Linked DNA regions of Arabidopsis thaliana. The protein of the gene in region 3 purifies or fractionates together with the protein of the main gene of each other region. This does not show direct contact. Each region holds a gene or a part of one and is shown on either strand. Other genes may lie near its edges.

Evidence for each region.
Region 1: the proteins of AT1G09640 (region 3) and eEF-1Bb1 fractionate together in Arabidopsis thaliana (co-fractionation; one large-scale study listed by BioGRID). This does not show direct contact.
Region 2: the proteins of AT1G09640 (region 3) and AT2G18110 fractionate together in Arabidopsis thaliana (co-fractionation; one large-scale study listed by BioGRID). This does not show direct contact.

The regions. Positions count from the first base shown.
Region 1 is NC_003070.9:10,633,301-10,643,628, reverse strand, and holds eEF-1Bb1 (translation elongation factor EF1B/ribosomal protein S6 family protein), read right to left. Parts: upstream 4,716-10,328; 5' UTR 4,657-4,715; intron 4,370-4,656; 5' UTR 4,344-4,369; coding exon 4,261-4,343; intron 4,118-4,260; coding exon 4,001-4,117; intron 3,887-4,000; coding exon 3,793-3,886; intron 3,705-3,792; coding exon 3,581-3,704; intron 3,491-3,580; coding exon 3,211-3,490; intron 3,116-3,210; coding exon of another isoform or gene 3,114-3,115; exon of another isoform or gene 3,113-3,113; coding exon 3,028-3,112; 3' UTR 2,847-3,027; downstream 1-2,846. Other genes in the region: AT1G30240 (proline-, glutamic acid/leucine-rich protein), read left to right, coding at 290-474, 754-881, 956-1,224, 1,401-1,644, 1,733-2,388; INT2 (inositol transporter 2), read left to right, coding at 8,190-8,328, 8,418-8,488, 8,912-9,247, 9,334-9,441, 9,514-10,116, 10,187-10,328. UniProt on the Arabidopsis thaliana protein: EF-1-beta and EF-1-delta stimulate the exchange of GDP bound to EF-1-alpha to GTP.
Region 2 is NC_003071.7:7,867,780-7,877,673, forward strand, and holds AT2G18110 (Translation elongation factor EF1B/ribosomal protein S6 family protein), read left to right. Parts: upstream 1-4,421; 5' UTR 4,422-4,528; intron 4,529-4,830; 5' UTR 4,831-4,856; coding exon 4,857-4,939; intron 4,940-5,043; coding exon 5,044-5,160; intron 5,161-5,243; coding exon 5,244-5,461; intron 5,462-5,550; coding exon 5,551-5,826; intron 5,827-5,932; coding exon 5,933-5,934; 3' UTR 5,935-6,231; downstream 6,232-9,894. Other genes in the region: AT2G18100 (transmembrane/coiled-coil protein (DUF726)), read left to right, coding at 150-370, 464-545, 635-1,120, 1,303-1,471, 1,583-1,735, 1,851-1,948, 2,042-2,133, 2,214-2,284 and 7 more; SRS4 (SHI-related sequence 4), read right to left, coding at 8,943-9,163, 9,455-9,894. UniProt on the Arabidopsis thaliana protein: EF-1-beta and EF-1-delta stimulate the exchange of GDP bound to EF-1-alpha to GTP.
Region 3 is NC_003070.9:3,115,005-3,126,127, forward strand, and holds AT1G09640 (Translation elongation factor EF1B, gamma chain), read left to right. Parts: upstream 1-4,734; 5' UTR 4,735-5,004; intron 5,005-5,112; 5' UTR 5,113-5,157; coding exon 5,158-5,166; intron 5,167-5,383; coding exon 5,384-5,533; intron 5,534-5,621; coding exon 5,622-5,682; intron 5,683-5,782; coding exon 5,783-5,835; intron 5,836-5,954; coding exon 5,955-6,056; intron 6,057-6,166; coding exon 6,167-6,656; intron 6,657-6,768; coding exon 6,769-7,148; 3' UTR 7,149-7,538; downstream 7,539-11,123. Other genes in the region: AT1G09620 (ATP binding/leucine-tRNA ligases/aminoacyl-tRNA ligase), read right to left, coding at 1-1,451; AT1G09625 (uncharacterized protein), read right to left, coding at 2,339-2,563; RAB11c (RAB GTPase 11C), read right to left, coding at 3,346-3,834, 4,403-4,567; AT1G09645 (uncharacterized protein), read left to right, coding at 8,151-8,232, 9,105-9,343; AT1G09650 (F-box and associated interaction domains-containing protein), read left to right, coding at 10,974-11,123. UniProt on the Arabidopsis thaliana protein: Probably plays a role in anchoring the complex to other cellular components.

The DNA.
Region 1 (10,328 bases), 7.5 Mb from region 3:
AGTGAGATATCTTTTTCTGTTGGATTATTTATGATTCCTCTAAATTTTAGACCTGGAGAGAGTTAGCTTTTTCGTACGTAGTCGTAAATCGATAGGTGTGCAATTTGGGTGTCTAGATTAAGGATCACTGTTAAAGCATCAAGTTAAGCATGCCCTTGCTTATGCCGTGTCCAAAGTTTGGATTGCTGCTCAGCAGACTCCTTCCGACTCTCGTGATATGTGCTACTACGTAATCCAGACATCTCATTTGCGTCTGAAAAATTCTGATATTCGTTCTTTTAACCTTCAGATTAATATTCCAGTTGGCTCATTGTTATCCCTTGTTGAGCGAGTGCTGTTGGTGAACGGCTCTCTACCTCGAGCCATGTCACCCTTCATGACAGGGATCCAACAAGAATTGGTTTGTGCAGAACTTCCAGCTTTGCATTCGTCTGCTCTGGAACTCTTGTGCGCTACTTTAAAGAGTATCCGCAGGTAAACCGGTCTCCCTTTATTTAATCTAGATTGTTTTTACCTTCATTGGCGAAAACTATATATTTTACATGTCAAACACATTAAATATTATATTTCAACTGAAACCTGACCTTAATTTCATTGACACTGACAATTGAGGAGTTGTTCCTTTGGTAGTTTATGTCTTGCTGAAAATAGTTTCGCAATTCTCGTTTTTCCAAATAATGGATTGTTACTAGTTACCACACCTTCCCGTGTCTTAGGAACTAAACAACATCCTCATATTGATTCATTTTGTAGCCAACTTTTACCATATGCTGCATCTGTGGTGAGACTTGTTAGTAGCTACTTCAGGAAATGTTCATTGCCAGAATTGAGGATAAAGCTCTACTCAATCACTACAACCTTACTCAAATCCATGGGTATAGGTAATTTCACAAGATCTTGCCTTTGATGTGATGAAAATATAAGATCATTTCTGCTAACATACTTCTCTGACCAGGAATGGCAATGCAACTGGCACAGGAAGTTGTCATTAATGCCTCTGTGGATCTAGACCAGACAAGTTTAGAAGCATTTGATGTGGCATCTAGCAAAAACCCCTCGCTTACTAATGGAGCTCTTCTTCAGGCTTGCAGTAAAAAAAGGAAGCATTCAGGAGTCGAGGCAGAAAATTCTGTTTTTGAATTGAGAATCCCTCACAATCACTTGAGAAGCCCGATTTCATTGAAAATAGCATCTCTTGAGGCACTGGAAACACTTCTCACCATTGTAAGCTCTTTTAACTCTTTACTATCAAAATTCAGCTTTTTGTCGACACTGTTGAAAACTTAGTAGAAAGTTATTAGTTACTTGAATCCTACTTATAATCACCATAGTTCTTCTTTGTGATTATGTTATAACAATATGATAGGTTATCAAATATCTTCTTTTCTTTTGGGTTTCAGGGTGGTGCATTGGGATCGGATAGCTGGAGAGAGTCTGTTGATAATCTTCTTCTGACCACTGCAACAAATGCCTGTGAAGGGAGATGGGCCAATGCTGAAACCTACCATTGTTTACCCAATAAGTCTACGACGGATCTAGTTGAGTTTCAGCTTGCAGCACTCCGTGCCTTTTCGGCATCTCTCGTTTCTCCATCACGAGTACGCCCTGCATTTTTAGCTGAAGGACTTGAGCTTTTCAGAACAGGTAACTAAGATTGTTGGCATGAATTAAAACTAAGCTTTAAACCGCAGAGATCTAGAGTAGTTGATGCTTATATATCGGCTTTGAACAGGTAAACTTCAGGCAGGAATGAAAGTTGCTGGATTCTGTGCTCACGCTCTCATGTCCCTTGAAGTTGTTATACATCCGAGGGCACTTCCACTCGATGGCCTCCCGACACTTAGCAACCGATTTCCAGAGAGCAATTCTTTTGGCAGCGAAAAACACAACACACCTAATCTTAATAAGTTGAATGTTATTGCTCATGATGGTGATGATCTAGGCAATAGATGGCAGGCAAAGGCGGATGTTCCTTCTAACAATGCGATTCAGAGAACCTTAGACACGACTTTACCTCTCCAAGAGAGCAACAGATTGAAAGTTGGGAATGATTTAGCTACTGTCGTGTCTTTGAGTGTCCAAGATCATACAGATATAGTTGCATCAGAGAATGGTCAACAAGCTGATGTGCCTGAGAAGGTTCCTGAGGAATCTCTAGGACCGGTTACAGACAAAGATGTTACGGCTCCCAAAGATGGGTATGAAGAAGTGGTGAGTGGGACTCAAGAGGGAGAGGATTTAGCGGTTAAAGACAGTCTGATGGAGGAAGCATCAATTGGTAAGAAGATAGAGTCCTTAGGGGAATCTGATGATGATCCTATTCCTAGTCTTCAGGAAGGTGATTTTCTCTCCTCTTCTTCTGATTCTGATTCTGATATTGAATCGTAATGCAAGACAAAAGAGTTCACAACCGTCTTAGAAGAATTTTGTTTCTAAGTTAAAGTTTTGATTATACAATTATACCTCTTTTTTACTTGTAAGATGTTTCAAATATGTGAGAGTTTAATTCCTTCCGAGAGTTTTTGTTTCTATTGTACACCAGTTTCAATTACTCACTAACATTGCAGCCAAAGCAGCCACAGAACCGAAATAACGATCGTGGTATATGAAGTTGATTTCTTCCATCTAGATCTTCCTAAGGCTAAGAGATTAACCAACTCCTTACTTTACCTTTGTGCTTAACTCGATTGAGAAACAAGTTTAACAAATATATAACGCTAAAAATGGATACATAAGTATAAATTTTATCAGCTTGAGTTGCTCTAAATCACAAACCCTTATCAGTCCTCACTTGCTAGTTTACTAGTTTTAGCTCAAAACCTGAACTTTATTCGGCAGAGCTACAAGGGAAAATTGCTAAGGATTCACTAAGAAACACATATCTAGAGATACAAGCGATGAACAGAGGGGAAGGAAGAAGCAGAGAATGGGTCATACACAAAGAAAACGTAATACTGAATTGTCACTTTTCATTAAATATCAAAATGGATCAGAGATGGCAGGCCATAACAGAGTCAAAACAACAGTCTACAAAAACTTGGGAAACTGAATATAGAAGAAGAAGAAGAACCAGACCACATGAACACAGACATTCCTTGAAGCTTTCTCCATCCTCCTGCATTATGATTCAATCCAACATAGACAGTTACACACCACATTATCTAACAAAAGATCACAGCTTAAAAAGAATTACGAATAGGTTCATGAAACTTACATATCTTGTTGAAGGCAACAATGTCACAGCTCTGGACATATTCATTGATCGGTTCAACAGTGAGTTGCTCTTCGATCATGGTGTCAATAGAGACAAGGTCGTCAACAATGGTGCACAAAATCTGCAACTTCTTGATACCATAACCAACTGGGACAAGCTTTGATGCTCCCCAAAACAAACCTTCCATCTGAATGGACTTCACAGCTTCCTCAAGCTTCTTCATGTCAGTCTCATCATCCCACGGTTTGATATCAATCAAAACTGAGGACTTTCCAGCTAATGAAGAATAATAAAAACAATGAGAAATCCAAGACATCTTCATATCATTCATATAAATTACAAGGGTAGAACAAAACCCAAACTTACATTCCTTCTTCTTTGTAGATGCCTTGACAGAAGCTGCTCTCTCTTCAGCAGCTTTCTTTTCCTCTTCGGTCTCCTCTCCGAAAAGGTCAACATCATCATCATCTTCTTCATCAGCCGCAGCATCCTACAAAACACACACATTCATATGAAATCTCCCCAATGCACAACTTTACAAAAACATTATGAGAAAACATAGAGACGATCAAGCATACCTTAGAATCAGCTGCAGGGGGAGTAGCAACAGCCTCCTCAGTGATAGGAGCTGATCCCTCAACAATGACACCGCTTCCTTCAGCAGAGACACCACTGTATATAGAAACATGATTATAACGAAACAATATTAGATTAATCCAGATTCCAGACAGCTAAAAACTTTAATCCATTAGTAAATGGAAAACAATAGAAGGTAATCAAGCTTACGAGATCCTCAAGAGGGCATCAATGTGATTGTACCAACGAGAAGCGTTCACATACTGTGAAGTTGGGGGCTTTGCAAGAGCTGCAAAGACGGTGATATCATCCTTTGAAGCCTGGTATCTATAAGCATACACAAAGGAAACTAATTATTACTCTTTTTGTTCAAAAAGGTAGAGATTAAGGATCTAATCTATTAGAGATGTTAACAACTTAATTGAGACAACACTTGAAAAAAAAGACAAATTTAAGAAATTGAAACTTACCCAGTAATGTAACTGCGAGTGAGAAGATGCTCGTCGAGCTTCTTCAATCCAGCATCAGAGTTAAGGTTAGGGAATGCTGCCATAGTTTCCGAAGCTCGAACCTTTTTCACTGATATAAAAAGCAGACAAGATCAGATCAACTACTAAAACCCCAACGATTCAGCAAAAACGAAACTTTATTTTGCTAAAAGACAGATCACAATTAGAAGCAAAGAACAACATCGAAAATTGATTCACTAAGACATCACTTAAGAGTTCCTAATCATGGGGATCAAAATACTCAAACTTCGAATTTCCAATCAAATACTATTATGACCATGGCTACTTTGAGATCGAAACAAACCTAATAGGAGGCGTAAGAACAAAAGATCTTACGGGAGAAATCGAAGAACAAACCTGAGCTAAAAGGCGCAGTCTTTGAAGATGAAGAGTGAAGGAGGAGGCAGAAGAGGATGGCGCAGAGTTCTCATAGGTACTTATTTAAGCTTCTAGGTTTTTCTTTAGTGGGCCTATATGTGGCCCAATTATCTCCTCAGTTAGGCCTTCTCTTTTATCTTGGTGGGCTTTACAAAAAAAAATCAATAAACCGGTTAAGATCTACACGATAGAGCATCAAGAAAACAATTCATAATTCTTCTGTCTATGAATGAAAGATAGTCATGTTTAAGTGAACCATGAGAAGTGTATATGGACCCAAATTTCCAGAGTGTCAGTTAGGAATAAATTAGCATTGTACTCAGAAATCAAAACTGTTAAAAAAAGTGGTAACAAGAAAAAATCTATAGAATTATTAATAAGGTAGTTTAGAATGATTTATGGAAAGATTAGATGTGTATGTATCTTACAAAATTCATCAATTTTCCTCTCTGATTAGTTGTCACTTTTTTCAGTTTTTCTCTTTTAAATTGTCATTTACTAACAAAATAATAAATTGAATTCATTTTGAAAATGATAGGTCACCCAATTTGTTTAATGTATAAGAAACTATCTAATATGTGGATATTAGTTATATTATCACCAAAAATGGCAAGCTACCCAAGCAAAATCGCAATATCGCTACAATGGCTGCATGTCTTGTTGGTTCGGTTCAAGATAATAAAGTTCTCTACATATTCTATTGATTCTTGTATCTAAAAGTTTATAGGCACAAACGATGCATCCGATGTAAACATGTTTTCTCGAATAAATTTTAAATTTTATTCAAAAAAAAAAAAAAAATCGCAATATCAAGTTCTTACTATTTTCTAAAGATGGAGTTGAGACCATTTGTTGGATCTCACATGCATAACGCCAAGAAAATCTAGTATACATACCAAGTTTTCATGTTTACAAACAGACACCACTTTAATATATATTTTACTAGTTATCTTTTTCAAAGTATTATTAGTTATTTATCACATAAAATAAATATAACATTCACGTACAAAAAAACTAAAATTTACAAAACCTTTACCCAAGAAAAAAAAACACTTTACAAAATCTATACACTTATGATATACATATGTTTTTATATAGTTTCTTAACACCTATTCTGATACGTCTAAGAAGTTGCATGTATGTTTTAGTCGTTGTAAAAAAGATTTGTTCAACTTTTCTATATTCTTATCACTTCTTTTTGTAAAAACAAAAAGCTATAAATTTTGTGGGGAAAAAAGTAACAAGATATAGTTTGGCCAAAGATGTACTTTGGTTTCTTTTAAAATTCCTCCTTGTTGAGAAAAAGGATTTCAGATTCCAATTGAGTTCCAACATTCTGGTTCAAATGCTTCTTTTCATAATCATTTTAAAGGAAGACTTTTTTTTTCCGGAACATACAGGTTTAATTCAATTTCAGAACTATATTATATCCTCAAACTTCTGTCTATATAACACTTTTAATGTAAACTTTCCTAAAACAATTATATCCATGTTATTTTATCGAAGCACAAAAGACATAGAGAATTCTTTTGGCCCTTTTTAAAAATTTGATGAGTGATCAACTTCATCGGCTGATCATTCCAAATATCCTGACTGATTTTTATTTTTCTTAAGGTAAATATAATCGACATTATTAGATTGATCGAATCGAACTCTAGTATTCTACTGTAATCTCTTAGTCTCACCTCATACAATCGTTGTGTGCGCCATGCCAAGATCACTAAATATCTATCTTGTACATGTGTAGAAATCCTCCACGACGGTCCACATATGATCCAATTGGGACATTAACAAGTATCACGTATTCTAATATATTAAAAGTTGTAAAAGTGTCATGTTCGCTAAGTATGCTCGCCAGTAACATCAACTTTGAGTTCCAAAACATATTACTTTTTGTTTCAATCATTTGTGATTTAGGTAGAATATTGGATCAACAAAAAAAAAACGATAGCATAGCATTAGCTTGCATGTGCTACATCAGGACAAATGCAGGGATAACAAACCAACAAATGTAATAATTAATGGTATATGTATACATATATATATATATATATATAACTTTAAACTTTTTGTTAGAAGAACCCACCATATATATAATTTAATATAGTAATATAATACATTTAATCAGATTAATTTCATAATTATTTGTTCTTTAAATCTCATGGTACATGATAACTAATGAATATTTAGTCGAATTTCAAATATGACAAAATTTTATCTATTGTATTATGGATAGAATGGTAGCTACGATATCACCTTCTAACAGTTTTCATCTGTGAAGTCTTCCTGTCACATACTCTTTTAAAGAAATATTCATTATTCCATATTTTTAAATTCTCAAAGCATGCATGATTGAATTTATATAATTTCTTTTGGTTATAAATATCTACAACTAAAAAAAAAAAACTGATTAATTATTATGAAAAAAAGTTTTCTTTAAAACGGAAAAAGAAAGAATGCATAAGTCCAAATTCACGAGTTGTAAATACTATCCAGACTCCAGTGTTTGACTAATCATATATACAACTTCAATTCAATCCCAGCATATATTTTTTTTTCTTATATAAAAATGATCAAATGATAATGGTCTTTCACCAAAGTTTTGGTAGTGGATCGTACAATTAATTAGGTATATAGCTAAACTATCATCGTGTTATACCATAAGCAGAAACCCAATTTGTAATTAAGAACTTAATTTAGAAAATTCTTAAACCAATAAGAAAACATTTTATTAATTTAATAATAGTTTCATCCGAATTATCGATTAAAAGTAGATCTAAATCTTTACATTTTCATCAAAATTGCTATTGATTCTTTTCAAGTAACAGTCCAACTAACATTAAGTAACGAAATAATGTTTTCATAAAAAATAGCTATATAAGGACAAACTACTATAATTTCATTTGAATAACCCTATAACGTTTGGTTCTCTGCTAGTATATCCAAAATTTTAAAATAAACGTGTCAAAAAGATACAAAACATTAAAATGCCATATTAGTATATATATTTTGAAAAATTCTAGTCAACTATGCTTTCATGTAACGTATGTAGTCACTATATATAATTTCGTAATTAATGTTGTCATACTCTTGTGTGATATTTTAGAAAATATCCATTAATATATTGAGTATAATAGCCAACAAAAAAAAAACTTGTTTTTATGATATTATAATGTTTTTGTAAGAAAACAAAAGTAACAATATTCAGATTTGTCATAAGGTAATAAATACACTAGAAATAAATGTAGAAGAATAAATATAGGTAAATAAAAACAAAGAAAGATAGTAATGAGTTATCCAAAAAAAAGTAATAGAAGAATTATTTTTGAAAAGTCATTGGATTTTTCTAGTAAGTGTCCTTCGTGTTGCATCTCAATTCTCCATTGATTCATCACCACTAATCATTTTCTCACCAGAAAAAAAACAACACAACAGAGAAACTCACACTCTTTATATTGGTAGTTCCGTTTCATTCGACAAACACACTTCTAACTCTTTTAACCCAAAAAAAAATGGAGGGAGGAATAATACATGGAGGAGCAGATGAATCAGCTTTCAAAGAATGTTTCTCTCTAACATGGAAGAATCCTTATGTTCTTCGTCTTGCTTTCTCTGCCGGAATCGGTGGTCTTCTCTTTGGTTACGACACCGGTAAGTTTTCTAATTTATCCACTCATGCATATATGTTATATATGTATGTTTGATGGGTTATATACATATGTATGTGTATATACATGCAGGAGTGATATCAGGTGCTCTGCTTTATATCAGAGATGATTTCAAGTCTGTTGACAGAAATACTTGGTTACAGGTTCTGTTTTACTTGGAATTAATTATGTCATTATGTATGAGTTTTTTGGTTAATTTTAAGGTTTTTTATATAATAAATGTTTGATGTAGTAATGACATCTCAGAAGCAAGAAAGAGATCATGGCCACAAATTAAATCATGACTTTGAGAACTTCAAAACTTGTTAGAGAAAAACTGTTCTGTCTCTAAAAACTATGGTATTAGTTGTAACAGTTTGTCAAAGCATATATATAAAAGAAAGATCATCAGGGTTTGGATTCTGTTTTAGAGTATGATTAGCACCAAACATCATGTCGCTTTTTTGCATTCCCTTTGTACACATCATGCCGTTTAGTATTTACCGTTAAGAAGCGCCTAAAGCAAGTTCCATGAACATACAAAGATACAAGCAAACACTAAACTTGAGATAAACACAATGGAACAGGAGATGATAGTGAGCATGGCAGTTGCAGGAGCCATCGTTGGAGCCGCCATAGGAGGTTGGGCGAACGACAAATTAGGGAGGAGAAGCGCGATTCTCATGGCGGATTTCCTCTTTTTATTAGGAGCTATCATTATGGCGGCTGCTCCTAACCCGTCCCTCCTTGTCGTTGGCCGTGTTTTTGTGGGCCTCGGGGTCGGGATGGCCTCGATGACCGCTCCTCTATACATCTCAGAAGCTTCGCCTGCTAAGATCAGAGGAGCTTTGGTCAGTACTAATGGGTTTCTCATTACCGGAGGACAGTTCTTGTCTTACCTCATAAACTTAGCCTTTACTGATGTAAGTGATACTAGCCTAAAGACAGTGAAAGATCAAACTTTGGCTAGTTTTGAAGTTTTTAATGTTCTGTTTTCTCTGTTTTTTAGGTGACCGGAACGTGGAGATGGATGCTCGGAATCGCCGGAATTCCAGCTCTTTTACAGTTTGTCTTAATGTTTACACTCCCGGAGTCACCTCGATGGTTATACCGCAAGGTACATTTAGATATTTTTCTCTTCTCCAAGATTTTGTCACAGACTATGATGAACTAAAACGTGTGTAAACAGGGAAGAGAAGAAGAGGCTAAAGCGATTCTAAGAAGAATATACTCAGCAGAAGATGTAGAACAAGAGATACGTGCACTTAAAGACTCAGTTGAAACAGAGATACTTGAAGAAGGGTCTTCCGAGAAAATCAACATGATCAAACTATGCAAAGCTAAAACCGTTAGACGAGGACTAATAGCTGGTGTTGGTCTCCAAGTGTTTCAACAGTTCGTTGGGATCAACACAGTTATGTATTACAGTCCAACCATTGTTCAGCTTGCCGGTTTCGCTTCAAACAGAACAGCTCTTCTCTTGTCTCTAGTTACCGCAGGACTTAATGCATTTGGTTCTATAATTAGCATTTACTTCATTGATAGAATCGGAAGGAAAAAGCTTTTGATCATTAGCCTTTTCGGAGTCATTATCTCGCTAGGAATACTAACCGGTGTTTTTTATGAAGCGGCTACTCACGCTCCTGCGATTAGCTCACTCGAGACACAAAGGTTCAATAATATTAGTTGTCCGGATTATAAGTCAGCTATGAATACCAATGCTTGGGATTGTATGACTTGTTTGAAAGCTTCTTCTCCATCTTGTGGCTATTGTTCCTCTCCCATTGGAAAGGTAAAATACTTTTCGAAAAGACCAAAAATATATTTTGAATTCAAGATCCTTACTTATATGATGATGGCAGGAACATCCCGGGGCATGTTGGATCTCTGATGATTCGGTTAAGGACTTATGTCATAACGAAAACCGGCTTTGGTACACGAGAGGATGTCCTAGCAATTTTGGTTGGTTTGCTCTTCTTGGATTGGGACTTTATATCATCTTCT
Region 2 (9,894 bases), on a different chromosome or scaffold from region 3:
TGAATGTTTCAAATCTATTTATATCATGACAAGTGTAGGCTCCAGTTTATTCTACTTGTTTTTGGAAAATGAGACGAACTCTATTGATCGTTTCTGGATTTGGAAACTTTTTGTTGTTTCTTCGATTTCGTTTTTGTTGATCTGAGTTGATGGTGGAAGCTACGTCAAATTTGACGCCGTCGCAGAGATACGCGGCAAGCGCTTTGTTTGCAATCGCGCTTAACCAAGCGCAGATCAGCCAGTCAAAGCCATTGGGAATCCCGGCCACCGGAAGTACCGGAGAGCCAATCAGCAGCGACAGTGATCCTATCTCCGATGAGGCGGATCTCTGGGTCCACGAAGTTTCCGGCCTCCTCCGTCCTGTTCTCAGGTGATCTTGAAATCATCTGGAATAGTCATGTTCATATGCGTCTCTGTGTGTGTAATGTATACATTTTGAGCTGTCTCTGTAATTTGCTTTCAGATGTCTTCAGATTGATTCATCAGCTTGGCATGGCCTTGAAGAGATAGCTGCTTCTACTCAGGCTAAGGATCACATCGGTGCGGTATGATTAATTTCTCTCCGTATTTTGAAATTTCGTTGTGAATGTTGAGGAGCTCTTCTTTATTGGATGTTACTTTTGGTTTATTGTAGTTTATCAAGTTACTCTCAGAGGATGTGAGTGATGATGATGATGATTCTAGTGAAATGGTGGAGAAAGAGACCGCCTTAGCTAAAGCTGCTGATGCTATGGATCAAAACATTCGAAGCAGCTCTCTATCTGTGGAATCTAAGATGGAGAAACATGTGGAATTCGAAAACGAATGCCGCGACAAGTATTCTGTTCCCGAGGCACAGTCTGGTGCTGAGGTTAAGGAAACGGAGAGCCACGGGGAGGGTGAAATTAGAGATGGAGGCCACAATCTTGGGATTGTTGAACATGAGAAACCTGTTGGGGAAGTAGCATTGCTTAGCCATGAGAGAAAGATAAATGTTCTTTACGAGCTACTATCTGCTTGCTTGGCAGATAAACATGAGGAGAATGAGATATGTACACGGCGTAGGAAAGGCTATGATGCGCGTCACCATGTTGCTCTGCGGTTACTTGCTACTTGGTTTGACTTTCAGTGGATTAAAATGGTCTGTTTGCTTCATTCATTCAAATTATTTTGTAAATTTTATGCTACCACATAGCATAGCAACCCTATAGTTACATGTTAGCTATCTTGTTGAGGATTTAGGATCTGATGACATTGGGATATTTAGGATTCTCTGTTTTGTGCATTTGGATTGACCTGAGAATCAATTTCTGTATTTTCTAGGAAGCAGTTGAGACAATGTCTGCATGCTCTGCCATGGCATTGCAAAAGTCAAGTGGAAATAAGGAAGAAGAGTCTTTGTCACCAAATAGTGAATGGGCTAAGTGGAAACGTGGAGGCATAGTTGGAGCGGCTGCTTTAACAGGGGGTACATTGATGGCCATCACTGGTGGTATGATGTCTTCTAACTGTTAATATCTCTTCCAACGTTTAGAAAATTAAGAGTATGTGTTTGGAAAATGCTAATTCTTAATCTGTTTTGATTACATATTATGTGAAACAGGATTGGCTGCTCCAGCAATAGCTGCAGGGTTCGGTGCATTGGCTCCAACTCTAGGCACAATAGTTCCGGTAATTGGAGCCAGTGGGTTTGCTGCAGCTGCTGAGGCTGCCGGAACTGTTGCTGGTTCTGTTGCTGTTGCAGCATCTTTTGGAGGTAAATAAAAAGTAGAATCAGTTTTAGATTCCTTTAAGAAATAAAATGAATCAAAGTGATGATAATTGTATAGTTCTTAGTCTTCTGTTTTGTTTCTACATGTGTTCATGAATAGCTGCTGGAGCTGGGCTCACTGGGACGAAGATGGCTAGGAGAACTGGTGACATTGAAGAGTTTGAATTCAAAGCTATTGGAGAAAATCATAATCAAGGAGTTAGTTTTAAATTCCTGCTGTTTCATGTTGAAATCTCTTTGCTCTGCATTGATCTCTTTGTTCTTTCTTTATTTTTCTTGTTGGTGTAATAGCGATTAGCGGTGGAGATCTTAGTTGCTGGCTTTGTTTTAAAGGAAGAAGACTTTGTAAAACCCTGGGAAGGGTTAACTAGCAACCTAGAAAGGTATTAAAATGAATTGTTCTTGTGTATATTTTTTGTGACTATATCATAAAATCCATATGTTTGCTATAATACCTTCTTAGGTACACGGTGCAATGGGAATCCGAGAATATTATTGCAGTGAGCACTGCAATTCAGGATTGGCTTACTTCAAGTAATAATATATAGTTTTATCCAATACGTGTAACCATGTAAATCTATCTTTTTGCTATTGCTCTAAGAATAGATAGTAACATTGACATGAACTTGTTGCAGGAGTTGCTATGGAGTTGATGAGACAAGGTGCAATGCGCACCGTACTAAACTCGCTTTTAGCAGCAATGGTTTGGCCGGCAACAATCCTTGTAGCTGCTGATTTTATAGATAGTAGATGGAGTATTGCTATTGACAGGTAAAATGAAAATATTTGATGAAACTGAAATGCCAAATGTGATGAAACCAGTACTGCAAGTAAGTTTATGTGCTATTATTTTCGTATTATCTTATTTCAGGTCAGACAAAGCAGGGAAGCTTCTTGCTGAAGCGCTTCGAAAAGGGTTGCAAGGAAATAGGTATAATTATTGGATAAATTCCATCATATATCTTTATGATAGAAAGTTGTGCAATTAGTATTTTACATCAGCATGTTGATTCTCTTACATTGGAAAACTTGTGAGAAATTCAGACCTGTGACTCTGGTTGGTTTTTCGCTTGGTGCACGTGTTGTCTTTAAGTGCCTCCAGACTCTGGCAGAGACTGAAAAGAATGGTATTTCTCCACTCAATATTTATCTTTGCTTTAGAATTGACAATTGATTCTTGTCTTTAACACATTTTTCACGGTAGCTGAAATTGTGGAAAGAGTTGTTCTTCTTGGAGCACCAATTTCAATCAAGAATGAGAATTGGCGAGACGTAAGAAAGGTAATAAACCTTCTTGATGAGAGTTCCCTACCATTAACAAGAGTTGGTGTCACAGTCTAGGAAACAGATCCGTCTTTTGGTGTTCTGTATCATCTTATACGAGTTTTTTTATGGGTTACCAGATGGTGGCTGGAAGATTCATTAATGTTTACGCCACAAATGACTGGACCCTCGGAGTTGCATTTCGTGCAAGGTATGTTGAATTGTGTTCTTCGATCCCCCCTTTCACCTGCAAATCCAAACTCTTTTTTCCTTATTAAATTCTGCAGTCTGTTGTCCCAAGGATTAGCTGGAATCCAACCGGTCTGTATACCGGGGATTGAAGATGTAAGTCATCTCATTTACTCTCATCTTCAATTCGTAGGAAGTGAAAATGATAGAAACAATCAGAGTAATCATCATCACATTTGTAGGTAGATGTAACGGATATGGTGGAAGGTCACTCATCTTACCTATGGAAAACTCAACAAATCCTGGAAAGACTCGAACTCGACAATTCTTACCCTGTTTTTCGAAACACTCTCTAACTAAACCCAACATTTATTACTAGGACCATATCCCATTTTCACCCAGTTTCATAGACTAGATTAACCCTCATGACTGCTGAATCAGGTAAAACGAAACATCATTGCCCTTCTTCTCTCATTTTCTCCTCATGTGCGTATATATTATACACTTCCACATTCCCACAATTGTTTACATGAAAACTTCCCTCATTTTGAAACCCTACATGTTCTAATTTTTTACCCGAAAAAACCATCGGAGAAACTATGTTGACCAAAAACAAACAAACATACTATACATGTTGACATAATAAACGAGCTTTTAGTCCCTTGTTGTCTTATTGAACTTTCAACATATTTTTGTAGTTAGTTTTACGTCGTCGCCTTTATACTTTGGCTTTTTCCTAGTTTTCTCTCTGTACGGCGATAGTAGATGATGATGTACATGTTGATAACATTGGCCCTATCTATCAATTTTTATATCACCCAAATTCACAGACGTACATGTGAAAACTAAAATTTTATACTGTTTCGCTTGCTAGAATAATAATATGCAAGAAACGTACATGTGTGATTGTGTGGTTACTGTTTTTTGAGAATTCAAAAAAAAAAAAAAAATCATCTTAAACAATCGAACTTGATTAATTCATAAGCCAACAAAATTGGAAAAAAATATTTTAGTTTATTTTAAGTGTTATAAAAAATTTGATAATTATTTTAGTTATTATATTTGAAAATAGGTAAAATAGGTTCTTAATATGTAACATGTACATTTTTGCATATTTCTAATTCGGTGTCATCCATACAAAAAACAAATGGCAAAAATCAGAATGGATAGAGAATTAATCCGCTAAAATGTAAATGTTAGGCCCAAATTCGGCCCATTACACAAAAATCTCAGAGGGTTAAATACATCACCTTCTCGACGCTAATTCCTCCACTACGTCTCTCTCTCTTGCTCTCCCTCTTCAAGTCGGCTCCTTTATTGCTACAGGTTTGTTGCTTCTTCGATTCAATTCTTCTTTCGCCTCCAATTAGGGTTTGTTTCGACCTCAAATTATGCAACTTTGGGATTATGTGATTAGAATTTAAATTTCGGTGTTTGTGAATCTAAATCTAGTTGATTAGCATTCTTATTGTTGTTCATACGTTTTAACCCAATGGTTCGTCTTTTAGATCTTCTGTTGTCATGATCTGGTTTTATGAAATAGAAAGTTTCGTTTTTGATGAATCGTTGGTGGGTTTTTCCTTACTTGATCTGATCTGATCTGATCTGATCTCTCTGCTTTATATCAGTGAAAAAGTTTCGAGCTTTAGAAACAATGGCGGCTTTCCCCAACCTCAACTCTGGCTCCGGATTGAAGAAGCTCGATGAGCATCTTCTCACTCGCAGTTACATCACTGGGTTAGAATCTGTTTTCTAAGGGCTGTCTCAATTATCTATCTTGTTTTGAAACAATAGTAGTAACCATTACTTTCTTCTGTCTCTCTATGTATGTATGTTTATAGGTACCAAGCTTCAAAGGATGATATCACTGTGTTTACAGCTCTTTCAAAGCCCCCAACTTCAGAGTTTGTCAATGTATCTCGTTGGTTCAACCACATCGATGCCCTCTTGAGGATCTCGTAAGCTCCATTGCCTTCTGTTTTTTACCAATTAAAGTTTTTGTCTAGTGTTGTTTTCTTATAACCTGTCTCTCTATTTACAGTGGTGTCTCTGCTGAAGGAAGTGGTGTCATTGTTGAAGGGTCATCACCTATCACAGAAGAGGCTGTTGCTACTCCCCCTGCAGCTGATTCTAAGGATACTGCTGCTGAAGAAGAAGATGATGATGATGTTGACCTTTTCGGGGAGGAGACCGAAGAGGAAAAGAAAGCTGCTGAAGAGAGAGCAGCTTCTGTGAAGGCATCTACAAAGAAGAAAGAATGTAAGTTTGTGTTTTTGCCTTTACACCTGTAGTTTACGATATAATGATGTCTTGGATTTCTCATCTGGTTTCTTTCTTTTCTTAATCAGCCGGAAAGTCATCAGTTTTGATGGATATCAAGCCGTGGGATGATGAGACGGACATGAAGAAGCTAGAGGAAGCTGTAAGATCCATTCAGATGGAAGGATTGTTTTGGGGAGCATCAAAGCTTGTACCCGTTGGTTACGGTATCAAGAAGTTGCACATCATGTGCACCATTGTTGATGACCTTGTATCTATCGACACCATGATCGAAGAGCAACTCACTGTTGAACCGATCAATGAATATGTCCAGAGTTGTGACATTGTTGCCTTCAACAAGATATGTAAGTTACACGAACCTTTTCTCAACTACTTAGAATGCTGAGATTGTTTTATACGATAATTTGGTGTGTAACTAACTGTTGGATATTGAATTGAATCATAATGCAGGAGGATGGAGAATAGCTTGAAGGAAGAACTGTTTATGTTGTTGTTTTCTTCTCTATATCCAGTTTTGTTACCTGTTTTTATTGTACTCTGTGGGAGGGCTTTTACCAACTCTGATTCATTTTGATATATGTGAAGACAATTCAGTTTTGTCTTAAAGTTTCCACCAAATCTCAAATACGAAAAATCATAAGTTTGATAACATCACAGAAAGTGTGAAGCAAGAATGCACGTATGTTTAAAATAAATACAAGTACGCATAATTTAGTATTGCAAAGAAGATTATGTTTACAAAAATTTCTAACAATCAGAGAATATGAGAAGGCTAGAACAAGGACCTTGGGTGTGACGCAATATTTCTGAAGTCATATCTTTTTTGTATTCTTTAGTTCCCACAAAAAAAATGGTAGGTTTCATATGGGTAATGCATGCTCATTTTGGTTGCTCACTATAATTATTGTGGTCTTGATTTGGGTTATAAAAAGGATGGGAATGGAGATGACTTTTACTTGAGAAAATTCTCGATAGAGATATTGGTGAAAATGTCAAGCTTTGTGGTGTTCTTGTTAGGTTCTGGTGCTGTGTTGTTGTTGAGTTCAAGCTCTGTCCACGGGCTGCGATATAGACCCGTGAGGAGATATTTTAATAGTAGTGATCAATCTTCCGTTTTGGGTTCCAACAAAACGTTTGAAAGTGGTGGACATAACAAAGCACGAAGAGTGCAAGAAGGTGATGTAGAAGAAGGAGGCTGCGAAATCTGCAGAGGAAGAGAAAGAGACTGTGGAGGTTGTACCGGTGGAGAAGGAAGCTGTGAAGGTTGTAATGGAGCAGGAGGAAGTTCGGGAGATGGTGGAGCAGGAGGAGGAGGAAGCGGTAGAGTAGGAAGAAGAGGAAATGGCAAAGGAGATGGGAAAGGACAAGGTGACGACGGTGGAAAAGAAGATTGCAATGACCATGAAAAGAATAAAGGAGATGATAGGAACAACGGTGATGGTGTTGGTATTGGTATTGGTATAGGTATAGGAGGTGAACCTAGCCCTGGATCCGGAGGTGGAGGAGGTGGGGGCGGCGGTGGCGGAGGTGGTGGTAGTGGACCTGGTGGTGGTGGTGGTGGAGGAGGAGGTGGTGGAGGCGGTGGTGGAGGAGTAGGAGATGGATATGGATATGGCCGTGGATGGGGTGGTGGATATGGAGGAGGAGGCGGAGGAGGATGGGGATGGGGAGGAGATAGCAACGGAGGAGTATGGGGTCCTGGAAACGGCGGTGGTTGTTGGTTTCCCGGTTGTGAATATAAAAAGTCAACGAAAGGTCAACACTGATCAACATGTTTAAAGACCGTTTTACATTTATCTATACTACGTTGGTTTTCAATATGGATTCTTTCTTTACTTATTGAGGTGCTTATAATTGGACATCCATTTAAAACAAAATGAATAGTAATAATAATACTTCCATTTTCTCTTCTTTTTTTTTGTTTTTTCTAAAAATGTTAATATTTCATTAGAAAATAAAAAAGTTAGGAATTACAAGAATGTAAAACCTATAGTTTGGTCCCATGGCAAAAAAGACTAAAAACATGGGAGCAAATATCAATTGGTCCATCGACATCAACAAAAATAGTTAAGCTTTTGGAATCAATGAAGCGATACAACAATTTTGATGAATCGCATATAATACACCTCAAAGAGAAAGATAATGCTGTTGAACGGCAAAGGTCGAATCAATGAAAACTTCCATTTTCTCTTGTTACAATATTTCTCTAATTTGAGAAAGACAAAAGTTATGAAGCATAGAATTGATGTGTGTCAGTGTGTGGAGTTGATGGTATGTTAACAAAATGTTTTGATATATCATTTATGTAGGCCGCAAAGAGGGGAGATGCTCGTAACGTTAGGTTGGAGTTGTGTTAAGTAAAGAGAAGTTGGAAAGTAGGAGGATCAAATTAATTAAAACTTGGATTTTATAAAGACGTAGATTTAGTCCTAATTACTAACAAGATTGAGATCGAGGATTCTTGTGCCTTGTCTTGGTCCTAATTACTTACATGCTATGATGTGGTTTCATTTTCAAATTCCATCTAATGTGGTGAAAACAAAATTATTACCAACAAGGTTCCATTGTGAATACAAGAACACATGAAAATATCTACAAAAGTTGGTGTACACCAACTCTCCAAGCTTTCACAAAAATAAACTCATGAATATTGAACTTTGTATTGGCCTTTTTGTATATATTGGATTTTTTTAACATAAAAATCCACCTTTTGTAATATTGTATTTTATTATCTAAAAACGATCAACTAGCAACGGAAATAAATCCACTGACCACTGCTAATATATTTTAGCGACGGATCCGAAGTTTACAGCGATAAGACCGTTATTTGGTGGCTTATAAATTGTAATAACAAATCTGACTATACCGATACATATACTATCTTAATCAGATTAAAAAGTTCAAACCTCATATACGCTTCGAACGACTCAACGGCTAAGCTAATAGAATATATAATAGATAACAAATTCTACATCCGTACAAGATTTTAAAGGGGTGGCAGTGTAGCCAATAACCATCAACCTCATTTATTGGAATTTACTGCTATAGACAATCCCTAATCATGCATAGGCACGTTACACAATTAACATAAATCACGAGTAGTCTTTTTCATATTTAATAATCTATTGGCAAAAAAAAACAAATTATCTATTTTGTTCTTTCAAAAACTATTACTATGGTTGCACAGTTGACATTCTTCTGTGCAGGAACATTTACCACAAATATTCCCAATGGACTCTTCTTATCTAATACGTTGTTTTTATTTTTTAACACCATCTTATATATGTTCATTTATCCACCTTCTTAAAATTATAAACAAATGTTTAAACAGATTCTCTCTAACATAACGATTTACCGAGTTACTTCATCTGTAAAGTATTGAGTTTTGGATAATCTTGAATCAACAAAGTTTTAATAGAGATTATTGCATACGACAAAAATAAAGAAGATATAAAAAAAATTAAGATCTTGGTGGGTTCTCGTAGAATTGTGTACTGCGCATGGACTTGTTTTCTGGACCTTGGTTATAGAGAATTCCTTTAAAGAGATGACCAGCTATGCCCACCGTCGTTTGGTATGCGTATTGGCCCTCTCCATCATCGGTACCACTCATTCTGACGCATCGGAAAAGTGCATCCGAGCTCACTTCATCTGGAAATCTTGTCTCTCCCATCTCTAACCCTAGCAAAGTTACACAAAGTTAGGGCCAAAACTTCACAACAAACATTTATCAAATCCTAACAACAAAACTATGTTCATTTTTCAAACACAATTTTTTGTTCTTTATTTTACTTAGCTTCTTACATTAATATTTAATAGTTTCATCATTTTGAAATGGAATTTCATTTTTACATTTCTTAGATTGCTTATTGCAATTTCGAAATGATATTTGATCGAAGTAAAACTGATGCATTATCATGTAAAAAGAAAGATTTATTAGGCAACAACAATGAAAAACTACTGAAACCAAACCTGATGAGTCTAAAGTAGCATGTTGATTAATGTCTCTATACTTCCCAACTCTGCCGCTACCGCCGGTTGGGTTGGAGGTTGGCGTCTGTAGCTGCTGCTGCCGCTCACGGCGTTTGGCAATGGGGATCCACGTGCTCCTCACGTGGGTGGGACAGTGGAGTCCGTTACTCTTGCAGCAAGTTCTACACCGCCCGTGCGTGCACCCTTTCTTGGCTTGGTTTCCACACTCTTGACAGCTTATCGTTAGAGATCTCGATGACGTGGTCATATCACAGACGTCGATCTGACCCGGATATAGATCGAGGCTTGGCTGCTGCCATATCTGATTGTTGTGGCTCGTACTTAGGTTATTATTGGTGTGTTTGTACCAAACCCAATTTGTGTTTTGTTGATTGTCTTCTTCGTTGTTTCTTGATGATCCTGTCCCAGCCATTTCAAAA
Region 3 (11,123 bases):
TCTCCAATAAGCATGGTTCCTTCGGTAAATCCTTTCAGGTAAGTCAACCTCTTAGCCTCTGCAAGCTTTTCCTTATCGTTTTGGCTTTTAATTTTCAGATCCAAGCAGACCTTTTCAGCAGCTTTATCCCCAAATTCCGGAATGTTGATGATCGGTATGATTTCAGTGGGCAACCATTCCGTTTTCACACCATACTTATCTTGAAGAGCAGGCTTTTTGATTAAATCTTGTAAAGCCATGTAATCATCAGGAGCATCACTAGGCACACTGGTGACAATGCCAGTACCTTTGTTGGTCAGAATGGTCAACATGGGCAGAGCATAGATGATCTCGTTGACTGACAGAGGAGACCTCAAAGGGAGTCCAATCAGATCATACCCGGTCAACTCAACCAAGCAGGAAGGCTCCTGAGGGTTCTTCGAAAAGTTCTGGTACGCAAGGTTGAGCGCAGCTCTCTCAGTAAGGATGAAGACCTCAGTTTCGCTGATTTCATAAGCTCCATATTTCCCATCAGGTAGTACCCATGCGTTTGTTTGTCCATACATGGTCTCAGGCCTCAAAGTAGCTGCAGCCAAAAACACTCTCTTGCCTTCCAAAGGACCCAGTTTCAGAGGGAATGGCTTGACTACTTCCATCTTTATGAGTGTATACTCTTGAGGCTGAACACCTTCCCCAGTAGCACGGTCGTGATCAGCACAAGGCTGGCCATCTAAAGGTGAGAATATAGTGTACCTGCGGTCTTTAACAATCTTTCCCATAGATTTCAACTTCCTCATCTGCCACCTCACAAAGGCATCGAAAAAGGGATTAACATCAGTGGTCACAAACGAGCGTCTCCAATCACAACCCAATCCATATGCCCTTAGATCTTCAACAGCCAAAGGGGGAAAGTAATACAACCATTCAGAAGGCTCTCGGAAATTTGCAATCTCACTGTCAGTAAGACCAAAACTGCGCATAATCTCCCACTGATAAACCTGTCCACCAGCTTTGGCAGCAACCTTAGACTTCTTTCCCTTGAACTGACCCGGAATCGGTAAAGCTATAGTATCACTGCTCTCCTCCTGAACTTCAGGAACTTTGGTGGTGTCTTCAGCAGTAAACACAGGAGGGTTACCAAACTGTTCAATCTCACGACGAAGCTTATCCGCAGAAGCCTTAATTGGCATACCAGTACAATGGAAACCAAATGGAAGAAGCACATTAGCTCCTCTTAGCCTATGGTAAGCAGAAGCAAAATCAACCTTGGACAATGAAAAGGCATGCCCAATGTGTAGATAACCATTCATATACGGGAAAGGGAAGGTTGAGAAAAACTTTTCTCCTGGTTTTGGAAGATTCTCACAAGATTCGGCTCTGAATACATCCTCGTCTTCCCACCACTTTCGAACAGTGGCCTCAATCTCAAGAAGACGATCTCTCCTAGCGTAGCTTTTCGATTCCGATGCCATTAAGTGACAGTGCCTACCCCAAAAAAACGCAAACCTCTAATTTAGATATCGGCTTCTTAAGTGCAACACAAAAATCGGTAGATTGAGTCTACCAGCTTGGGGAGAGAATTACCTTAGGGATGATGAACTTTGAGGAATCACGAATCGAGCCCACCGCGAAATCGATCCGAGATTTGACAGAGACAGAGCCAGTGGGAGAGATAAGTAATGGTTTCTAGGGTTTTTCTTTAAGACTACCTTCTTCAGTCTTTGGATTCGACGGCTGATTATTAAACTGAACTAGTCTCGCCAAAACCGGATCCAAGTCAAACCCATTTAGAATTTGGGCCACATCCACTAAAAGGCCCAGATATTTGGGGACTTCAAAGTTTTTTTTTTTTTTTTTTTTTTAACTAGTAGACGTTCAATTTCTTTTTCTTTTTTTGTTTTTTTTTTTTTGTTAAATAATATTCATGTTTTCTTTCTCCTCCCCTTTTCAAATGTTACTGGTTTTTTATTGTGCGATGCTTATGTCGTATATTATATATGGTGGATTGTTTAATGGTATAATTTCATTGTATTTGCAGAAATTTAGATTTGCATGAAAAAAAATGTTGAGAAATTTGAGTTACACCTCAAACTTGAAAGATTAGTAATGGAAGCAAATCTAAGAGACTAATAGTTAAAAGAATTCTCGACTTTGGTTCTAGAGAATGTGATTGATTAATCCTTTCAATCTTTCATCAACACCACACAACATGTTTAGTTAGTTATGATAAGATAAAGAAACCATACATAGATAACATCTTTCAAACTCTTTAGATTCTCAAGAGTCTAACCTTTGTTAAAAATAAGAAAACTATATGATAAAAACAAGGGATGCAAAACAAATATATTGAAAATTTTCTTCAAACGAGATTATTATTTGGCTTAGCTTGTGCCTTCTCGTTCGTCTTGCTCTTACCATCTTCTTTCACTGGATCCTTCTTCTCCAAAGTTACAGAAGACGACGCTTTACCATCTTCTTCTATCTCAAGAGGTTTCGAGCACCACCTATCGAGCAAATTGCATAAAACCGTCACCATTATTATTCCTGCGACGATAATACACCATCCCCAGATTGGGATCTCCATCTTTTTTATGTATTTGTTTTCAGTGACAAAGAAACAAAGTAAATTGTTTGTTGATGATTACAAGTTGCTTAAAAGTTGTTGATATTATAGGAGGCGGGAACTACTCGAAAGACTTGGAAATTTACCATTTTGACAAAAAACTTGCTAGAAAATAACTAAAATAAAAGTAAATCATTCTTCTAATTTTTTTCAATTTATCAACTTTAAAAGTATATTTCCTTTTCTTCATAAATCTCATAAACTAGCAAAAAGATAATGTCATAAACTAATACTATAAAATATATATTTTGTTTTTTTTGTTCCGTCAAATATATATTTTTGGTTTTGCCTGTATTCTTGTTGACTTCCGTTTTTTTTTTCCCCCTTTTTTTTAATTAACTTCCTTTCTTTGCTTTTCCATTTCTTCTTGATTGAAAAATGTATATTGTGTGATTTTGTCTACTTTATTTAAATTATCTTTGAAATCGAAGAATTTCTGCTCTATTAAAAATTCAAACTATAGTCTACGTTGGTATTTGTTTATTTCATTTTATACTCTGCTTATTTTTCTGATACTACATTACAACTACCACTCAAAACTACAATTAATTCCCTAAAAATATTTTTCGTTTCCAAAATTTGTTTTGTGTGAACGATTCCGAACTCCACAATTGATATAAAAAATTATCTTTGAGTTATATTATCAACAACAGAAAAAAGAAAGAAAACAAATACAACGCAAGCCTTGAAATAAAGTCTCATAGATATTTGGCTTTTTTTAAGTGCAACACAAACAAAGCCTTTCAAGACGATGAGCAACAAGGCTTCTTAGCGTTTGATTCAGAAGTAGCAGCCACATCAATTGTTTGGCCTTCCTTGATGTTGGCATTTGCAGTTGTCTGGTCTGAAGATATCGACTTCTTGCTGATGATCCTATAAACCTCCGAGAGAATCGTCTGAAAAGCCTTTTCTACGTTTAATGCCTCGAGAGCCGATGTCTCGATGAAAGATAAGCCTTCTTTCTCTGCATAGCTCTGAGCATCCTCTGTGGCAACTGCTCTGAGATGCTTCAGATCTGTCTTGTTCCCAATCAACATGATCACTATATTGGAATCTGCATGGTCTCTTAGTTCTTTTAACCACCTGCTTACATTCTCAAACGTTGTTGGCTTGGTGACATCATAGACCAAAAGAGCTCCAAGTGCACCTCTGTAATAGGCGCTAGTTATGGCTCTGTATCGTTCTTGCCCAGCCGTGTCCCATATCTGAGCTTTCACAGTCCTTCCTTCCACCTTAGAACAAAGATCATAGGTTTTTTAATAGGTTAATTCAGATCTAATGAGCAGCAGACTCTATGATTAGTGTGTCTGCAACAACAAAATTAGTAACTTCGCAGCTAAATTCCACAAACAACCCAGTAAGAAAACTAGAAACTGTGAAACAACAACCATGATTCATACTTCAAAAGAAAATCATGTTCGAGATCAATTTCAGATGAAGAGATTCTTAGATCTGCCTTAAACAAGGTTTTAGATCTGACATGTGAGGGAGCCTTACACTACCACGTACCAGAGTATCGACAAATTTGGGAACATTATCAATAAAACGCTTAAATTAAGAGATACCAAAGCAAAAATCTCGACCAAATGAAAAAAACAGGCACCACACATGTAAACATCAAAATTCAAAACCAAGCCCAAATGTTCCTACACACAATGACTGCTTCCGAGTATTCATACGAACACAGATACGGATCGAATCGAAAAGCACCGGATGCTGCTTAACTTAGAACTAAACCTAGATCCAGCAACATTTCGATTACACTATATACTATATATATAGAGAGAGATGTGTGCGTACTTGGAGAGTACGAGTAGCGAATTCGACACCAATGGTGGATTTGGATTCTAAGCAGAACTCGTTGCGAGTGAATCTAGAGAGGAGATTAGACTTGCCGACACCGGAGTCTCCGATCAAAACCACTTTAAACAAGTAGTCGTATTCTTCGTCCGGTCTTCTCGCCATTGTTACACTTTTCTCGAGGAGTGCTTTAGATTTGGGATTTTGAAATAGAAAAGGAGAAGATGACAGAAATAAATAAATAATTTAATTTCTCTTTCCCCTTGGATCTTCTCTATTCAACCTTCTCGGCTTGTTATTGCCCAACGACGAAGACCTTTTCTTGTCAAGTTGGGCTTACTAAAAAAGCCTACATATATGTAATTCATTTATACATGCTAATAAAAGGGAAAGTAATTAGAGCTTAACCGGAAAATAAACAAAAATCAGAAATAAAACCAAACAAAACCGAGCCAAACCAGAGGAATACACTCAATACAGATTTTAAAAACCCTACTTCTTCATCATCATCCCTTCAACACTCCTTTATAGCTTTTCTCCGCCTCAACTTTTTGCTTCTTCTCTCTCGATTTGCTCTCACGGAAGATTCTTCAGAATATCTGGTAAGATCCATCGATCGAACAATCTTTTTTTCTCCAGTTAGCTCATATTCATATTTATGATCATGTCAATTGCGAGCTCACTGCTTGATTTTTTTTCCTTGGAACCAGATCCGATATCAGAAGCCCCAAGTTCGCTTGAATTCCGTCTGAGCAATGGCTTTGGTGAGTTCTCTATGATTGTCTACTGTTACGATCGCATCATGTATCGATATAATTGTAGAAACGTTAGATTTGTAAATTTTAGGATCTAAGTTTATAGAACGATTGTTCATACACCAAATTGATTAAAATTATGTTAGTTTGGATATGTAGCTACTCTATTGTTAAGTTATTGATTTGGAATACGTATTATTGTGCTGATGATGAATTACGATTGCAGGTCTTGCACACGTACAAGGGAAACAAAAGTGCTGAGAAGGCACTCATTGCAGCAGAGTACGTTGGTGTGCAGATCGATGTGCCCTCTGACTTTCAGATGGGTGTCACTAACAAAACCCCTGCGTTCCTCAAGATGAACCCTATTGGAAAGGTTTGTCATCACTGGTGTTTGCTAAATTTCTGGACTGAGTATTATTAAGTCTATTTTTCAGCTAACCAAGAGTTATTGATCTTGCTAGGTTCCTGTACTTGAGACTCCCGAGGGTTCAGTATTTGAAAGCAACGCAATTGCCCGTTATGGTAAAGCATTCATAACTTTCTCCTTTAATTGTCTCTCAGTGTCTAGTTTGATTGCTTGTTGTCGTTTGGGTTTAATGGATCTGTTGATATCTCAATACAGTAAGCCGATTGAATGGTGACAACTCTTTGAACGGATCCTCCCTGATCGAATATGTAAGTAGCTGTTTTTTCCCTGGGGGCTACTCTTCTCTAATCCATTGACACCTCTTCTATTGTTTGTCATTCTATTTGTTAGTATTCTCAATGGTTATCTGCATGTTGTTTTTTCGCAGGCACAAATTGAGCAATGGATTGATTTCTCTTCATTGGAGATCTATGCAAGTATCTTGAGGTGGTTCGGCCCAAGAATGGGCTTTATGCCATACAGTGCTCCGGTAAGCTTTTTTGACTTTCATTGGTTGTTTCATTCACTCTTTGTGATGGCAATCTAGGTATTCTTTTCACTATATAAATAGTCTCATCCGTGATTGTTATATAAATGAAGGCTGAAGAAGGTGCGATCTCTACGTTGAAGAGAGCACTTGATGCTCTGAACACACATCTCACGTCTAACACTTACCTTGTCGGACACTCTATTACCCTTGCTGATATCATCACTGTCTGCAACTTGAACTTGGGATTTGCTACTGTCATGACCAAGAAATTTACCTCTGAATTTCCTCATGTTGAGAGGTACTTCTGGACTGTGGTTAACCAACCAAACTTCACTAAAGTGTTGGGTGATGTCAAACAGACTGAAGCTGTCCCTCCTATTGCTTCCAAGAAAGCTGCCCAGCCTGCAAAGCCCAAAGAAGAGCCTAAGAAAAAGGAAGCCCCAGTAGCAGAGGCACCTAAGCTTGCTGAAGAGGAAGAGGCACCAAAGCCCAAAGCCAAGAACCCTCTTGACTTGCTACCACCAAGCCCTATGGTTCTAGATGATTGGAAGAGGCTTTACTCAAACACCAAATCTAACTTCCGCGAGGTTGCTATTAAAGGTGTGTGGTGATATCTTCCTCTACCTAGTTTTTCAGCTTTGCTATCAGGGAATTATTTAGCTATTGGAATCAATTGTTTTTTATCATGTCTAATATTGTGGCTCAAATGCAGGATTCTGGGACATGTATGACCCAGAGGGATACTCACTATGGTTCTGTGACTACAAGTACAACGATGAGAACATGGTGTCATTTGTCACGCTCAACAAGGTTGGTGGGTTCCTTCAGCGTATGGACTTGGCACGTAAATACTCCTTTGGAAAGATGCTGATTTGTGGGTCAGAGGGTCCGTTCAAGGTGAAGGGTTTATGGCTGTTCCGTGGACCAGAGATCCCAAAGTTCATAATGGACGAGGTGTACGACATGGAGCTGTATGAGTGGACTAAGGTTGATATCTCAGATGAAGCCCAGAAGGAGCGTGTTAGCCAGATGATTGAAGACGCAGAGCCATTTGAAGGTGAGGCTCTCTTGGACGCCAAGTGCTTCAAGTGAGAAGAGAGAATGGTTTGGTACTTCCATTTACAGGTTTTGCAGCTGGGGCTTTACATATCTTTCTATCTGTCTGTCTCACATAGGGGTTTTGCTCTGTGACGTGTCGCATAGACTGTTTTTTTCTTTTCTAATCGAGTGTCAAGGACAAGTCTTTTTAGTTCTTTGTTAATGTTTCGCCTCCGTCCAGAATTGTTTACTATACCAGTTTTCGAAATCCTGACCGGCCAGTCTACCCTGGCAATAGGCAATACATGGTCTGGTTTATTTGTTTTACGGTAATTTTGCCTTGATTGATTTTCTTTGACGCGTTTCGGTCAACTTATATACATTGGTCTTTGAGTTGAACATTTAGTGGTAAAGTCTTTTTGGCACATATATTGAACATTTTTCCAATTTTAAAAATTGCTGAAAAAGCAAACTCTTGAAGAATAATAAGTCTAGTTAATTTCGTAGAAGAAGAACTGGCATGTTCATCTCGAAATTAACTAACGAATAAAAAAAGGTAGACAACTTAATACGCCACACAACTCTAATAAAAGAACATGTAACTTATGACAAAATAATGTAACATTTGTTCATAATATTTTTCGTATCAGATTATATATACAAATTGCTGATTATAATTATTATTCGCTGTTTGACCAAAAAATAAAAAATTATTGTTTCGCTGAGAAATGTATAGATAATTATATTATACGTTAGATTGGTAACTACCAAAAATATTACTATATGTTAGATTGGTCACAAAATAAGAAAAGAAAGGTAGTGTATATCAATTTATTAATGACGTATTTAATAAAGTTGGTCTCAAGCGAAATGAATTGTTCTTTACTGCTACAAGGCATATAATCCTGTAAAGAAAATCTGGGTGGTCGAATTGTTCTTTTCCCTTTTTCTAATTTCAACATCAAAAGTTGTTCCACCAGAAGAATTTGTTCTCTGCAGCAGTAAAGATCGATCCGTTCTTGCTTACAAGCAGAAAAATCATATCGACAGAGAGAGATGAGACAGAACTCAGCAACTGGTGGTCTTTCATGGCGGCGTTTACTGTTCTTCGCTTCGATTGGTTTGCAGTTCTTCTTAGGTTCGTCTTCTTCAGATCTATCTGATTTCATTTCACTTTTTTGTAGAATCCTCATCTGATTTAGTATTCCTTTGGGATTTTAGGTTCTCAATTCGCTAGATTTATGTTATATTTAGCTCAACTTGGCTCTTTCTAAATACTACAGTGTGTTTAATCTTTACGCATTAGGTCTTTTGCGATCAGGATCGAAACATGCAGATAGGAAGATTGTATTTCTCTTTTGAGTAGATCTTGGCCAAATCACTAACTTTGTGCTTAACATGTTAGTGAAGAGAAAATAAGCAAAGAGGATTTTACCGTTCAGTTCATGGGTTTGGTGTGGTTATAGTTTCTTTTACTAACTTCACTGGATAATAGTTGTTTACCTTTGTCCTAAATGCGAGACCATGTCCTGATTTGAAGAGGTTGTCTGCAAAATCTATTGCTTTTGTGACAAGTATTTATATAATTCCTCAGTTGTTTCATGGTGATGCTGCAGTTGACTAATGAGATATGTATTTACTTGTTGCCTATAGTTTTCAGACATTTAAAGTTCTTACATAAGCTATTTATACAATTGGCCACCATGTGCTTTTAAAAGAAGTAGGCTCATCTCTTTCTCTTTCCCGTAAATTTCTTTAAATGCATGTTGCAATTGATCTTGTTCTCTGTTGTCTATGTGTGTAGCTGTTGTTGTTCCCCTTTAGTCGAATATAAGAAACATGGTAACTATTTGAGGATAGACTGTGTAGCTTTAGCTGACTAGTGAGTGTCTACACGACAAGATTTTACAGTCACGAGTGCACTTGAGGACACCATAAACCTTGATTTTTTTTTGTTGTATATGCTAAGAGGGCATCTAGTAACTAAGTCTTCTGATATGATATTTTCAGGTCTATCGGGTGATTCCAAGAACACGAATGCAGGAGTTAAGACAGAATCTCATACTTCTTCCAGCAAAACAGGCACAAAAGTTATCCTTGTTCTAGTTGGATTTGTGGCTGTGGCCATGTTCTCGTTCTTCCTATACAAGCTATGGCAAAAGAAGAAAAGAGACGAGCAGTATGCTCGACTGTTGAAGCTGTTTGAGGAAGATGATGAACTCGAGGTTGAATTAGGTCTTCGAGATTAAAAACGCAAATTTGTCAACAAAGGCCTCATGTTTGTTTGTGTTCGTTTGTCTGAGCATGTAGGTGGAACTTATCACTTATGGGTATTTAAATTTGAAGTATATATATACGCATACTTTGTTGGGCTAGTAACTGATGTAGCTGTCTTGTCACTAATCATCATCAGTTCATCAATTATCCTCTCCAGACGATTGTTTTCCAATGTTGTACAATTCATTTTTCTTTCTTTCACTTTTTTTTGACAAATAGCGTGAGTTTAGGTTCTAAACAAATTCGATGTAAGTTTAGGTTCTAACCCTCTAGACAAATTAGTTAAGAGATCTGTGTCCCTGTCTTAAGATTCCTAGAAAATTCTTACTCAAACGATTAGATTTAAGAAACAGAAAGTGTTGAGTTTTACTTTTCCTTAGACCATCTCCAATGGAGATTTCTTAACATGTCTTTTTTTTTTTTTTTTGAATTTAATATTAAATTATATTCAAGAAAAAAATAAAAACTGGTTTATAAATGAATGCATACTGTTTTTAAATAGAGTACAAAACTTTTAAAGTAATCCTCAACTTTGTCTTGACGCAAACCATATTTGAAGTCCGCTCGAGTACTTCAAATCACCTCTGCTTTGAATTGTACTTTAATTGTACATATGTGTTTCTTAAATCTCTTTGTTGTCTAATTGTGGCGGACATTTGAAGTAATTTGAATCTGAACCTTAAATCTCAAAACCAGTAGATAATGAAGAGTAAAATAGACACATGGAGAAATTCAAAACTTAAAATGAAATTAATGTTTGTGTTTCAAAACTCAACACATTATACAGAAATTATCAAGTGGCTTGTTCCTCATGTCCCACTGACACACAAAGAAGCTGCAAGCAAACTCCCTCCTCTTATCATATTTTTGTCTGCCTACAAATATTATGGGCAACAACCTTCATTAGAAACTCCCTAGTGTATACCAAATCACAGATGTTGATAATTAAGGAGGGATTAACATTCATGTCAAAAATATGAATCAAACAATCTAGCCTAAACCAAGAGAGAACTAAGGATTACAGAGGAACGGCCACCGAATAAATCCAACAAAAATACAAAAGAAATTGAAACTGGGAAGATATATATTCATCTACATACCTGTTCGAGTTCATTTTCGTCAAAAACGGTCAATTGCAAGAAGGGTTGGTACGGTTCTTGGCTCCTTTCTTCTTCTCAGCTTTCTCATCAAGCGGATACTTTGCTTTATCATGCTCCGGCAACAGTAGAAGATCCTCTATGTTTATGTTTCCATACTCATCAAGCGGTTTATGTTTCCATGTTTTTAATCTTTTTACCATGGATTCATATGCATATGTTTCAAATTCTATGTTTGTAACCTAAACTATTTTTCATTAACTATGAAATATTTACAATTTAGAAAAAAAAAATGTTAAGTAGATAATAGGATTAGGAGATCTGTGCCGCGCGCGTGAGAGGAAGATCCTTTTTCCTTGATCTGATGAAAAGGAAGTGTTGAGTTTTGAGAAACGGAAAGTGTTGAGTTTTGTCTTTTCTATAGAAGATTTTTGTTTTCCTGTTTTATCTATAAATAAGCCTCTTAAATCTCTTCATCAACAATGACTTGTCTGCAATTACAAGAATGTCGAAAAAGCAACGTTGCTTGATGATGGAATCGCTGCCCCACGAGGTCGTAGAGTGCATCCTAGAGAGACTTGATGCGGATCCTCTGCTGAGATTCAAGGCTGTATCGAAACAATGGAAATCAACTATTGAATCTCCATTCTTCCAG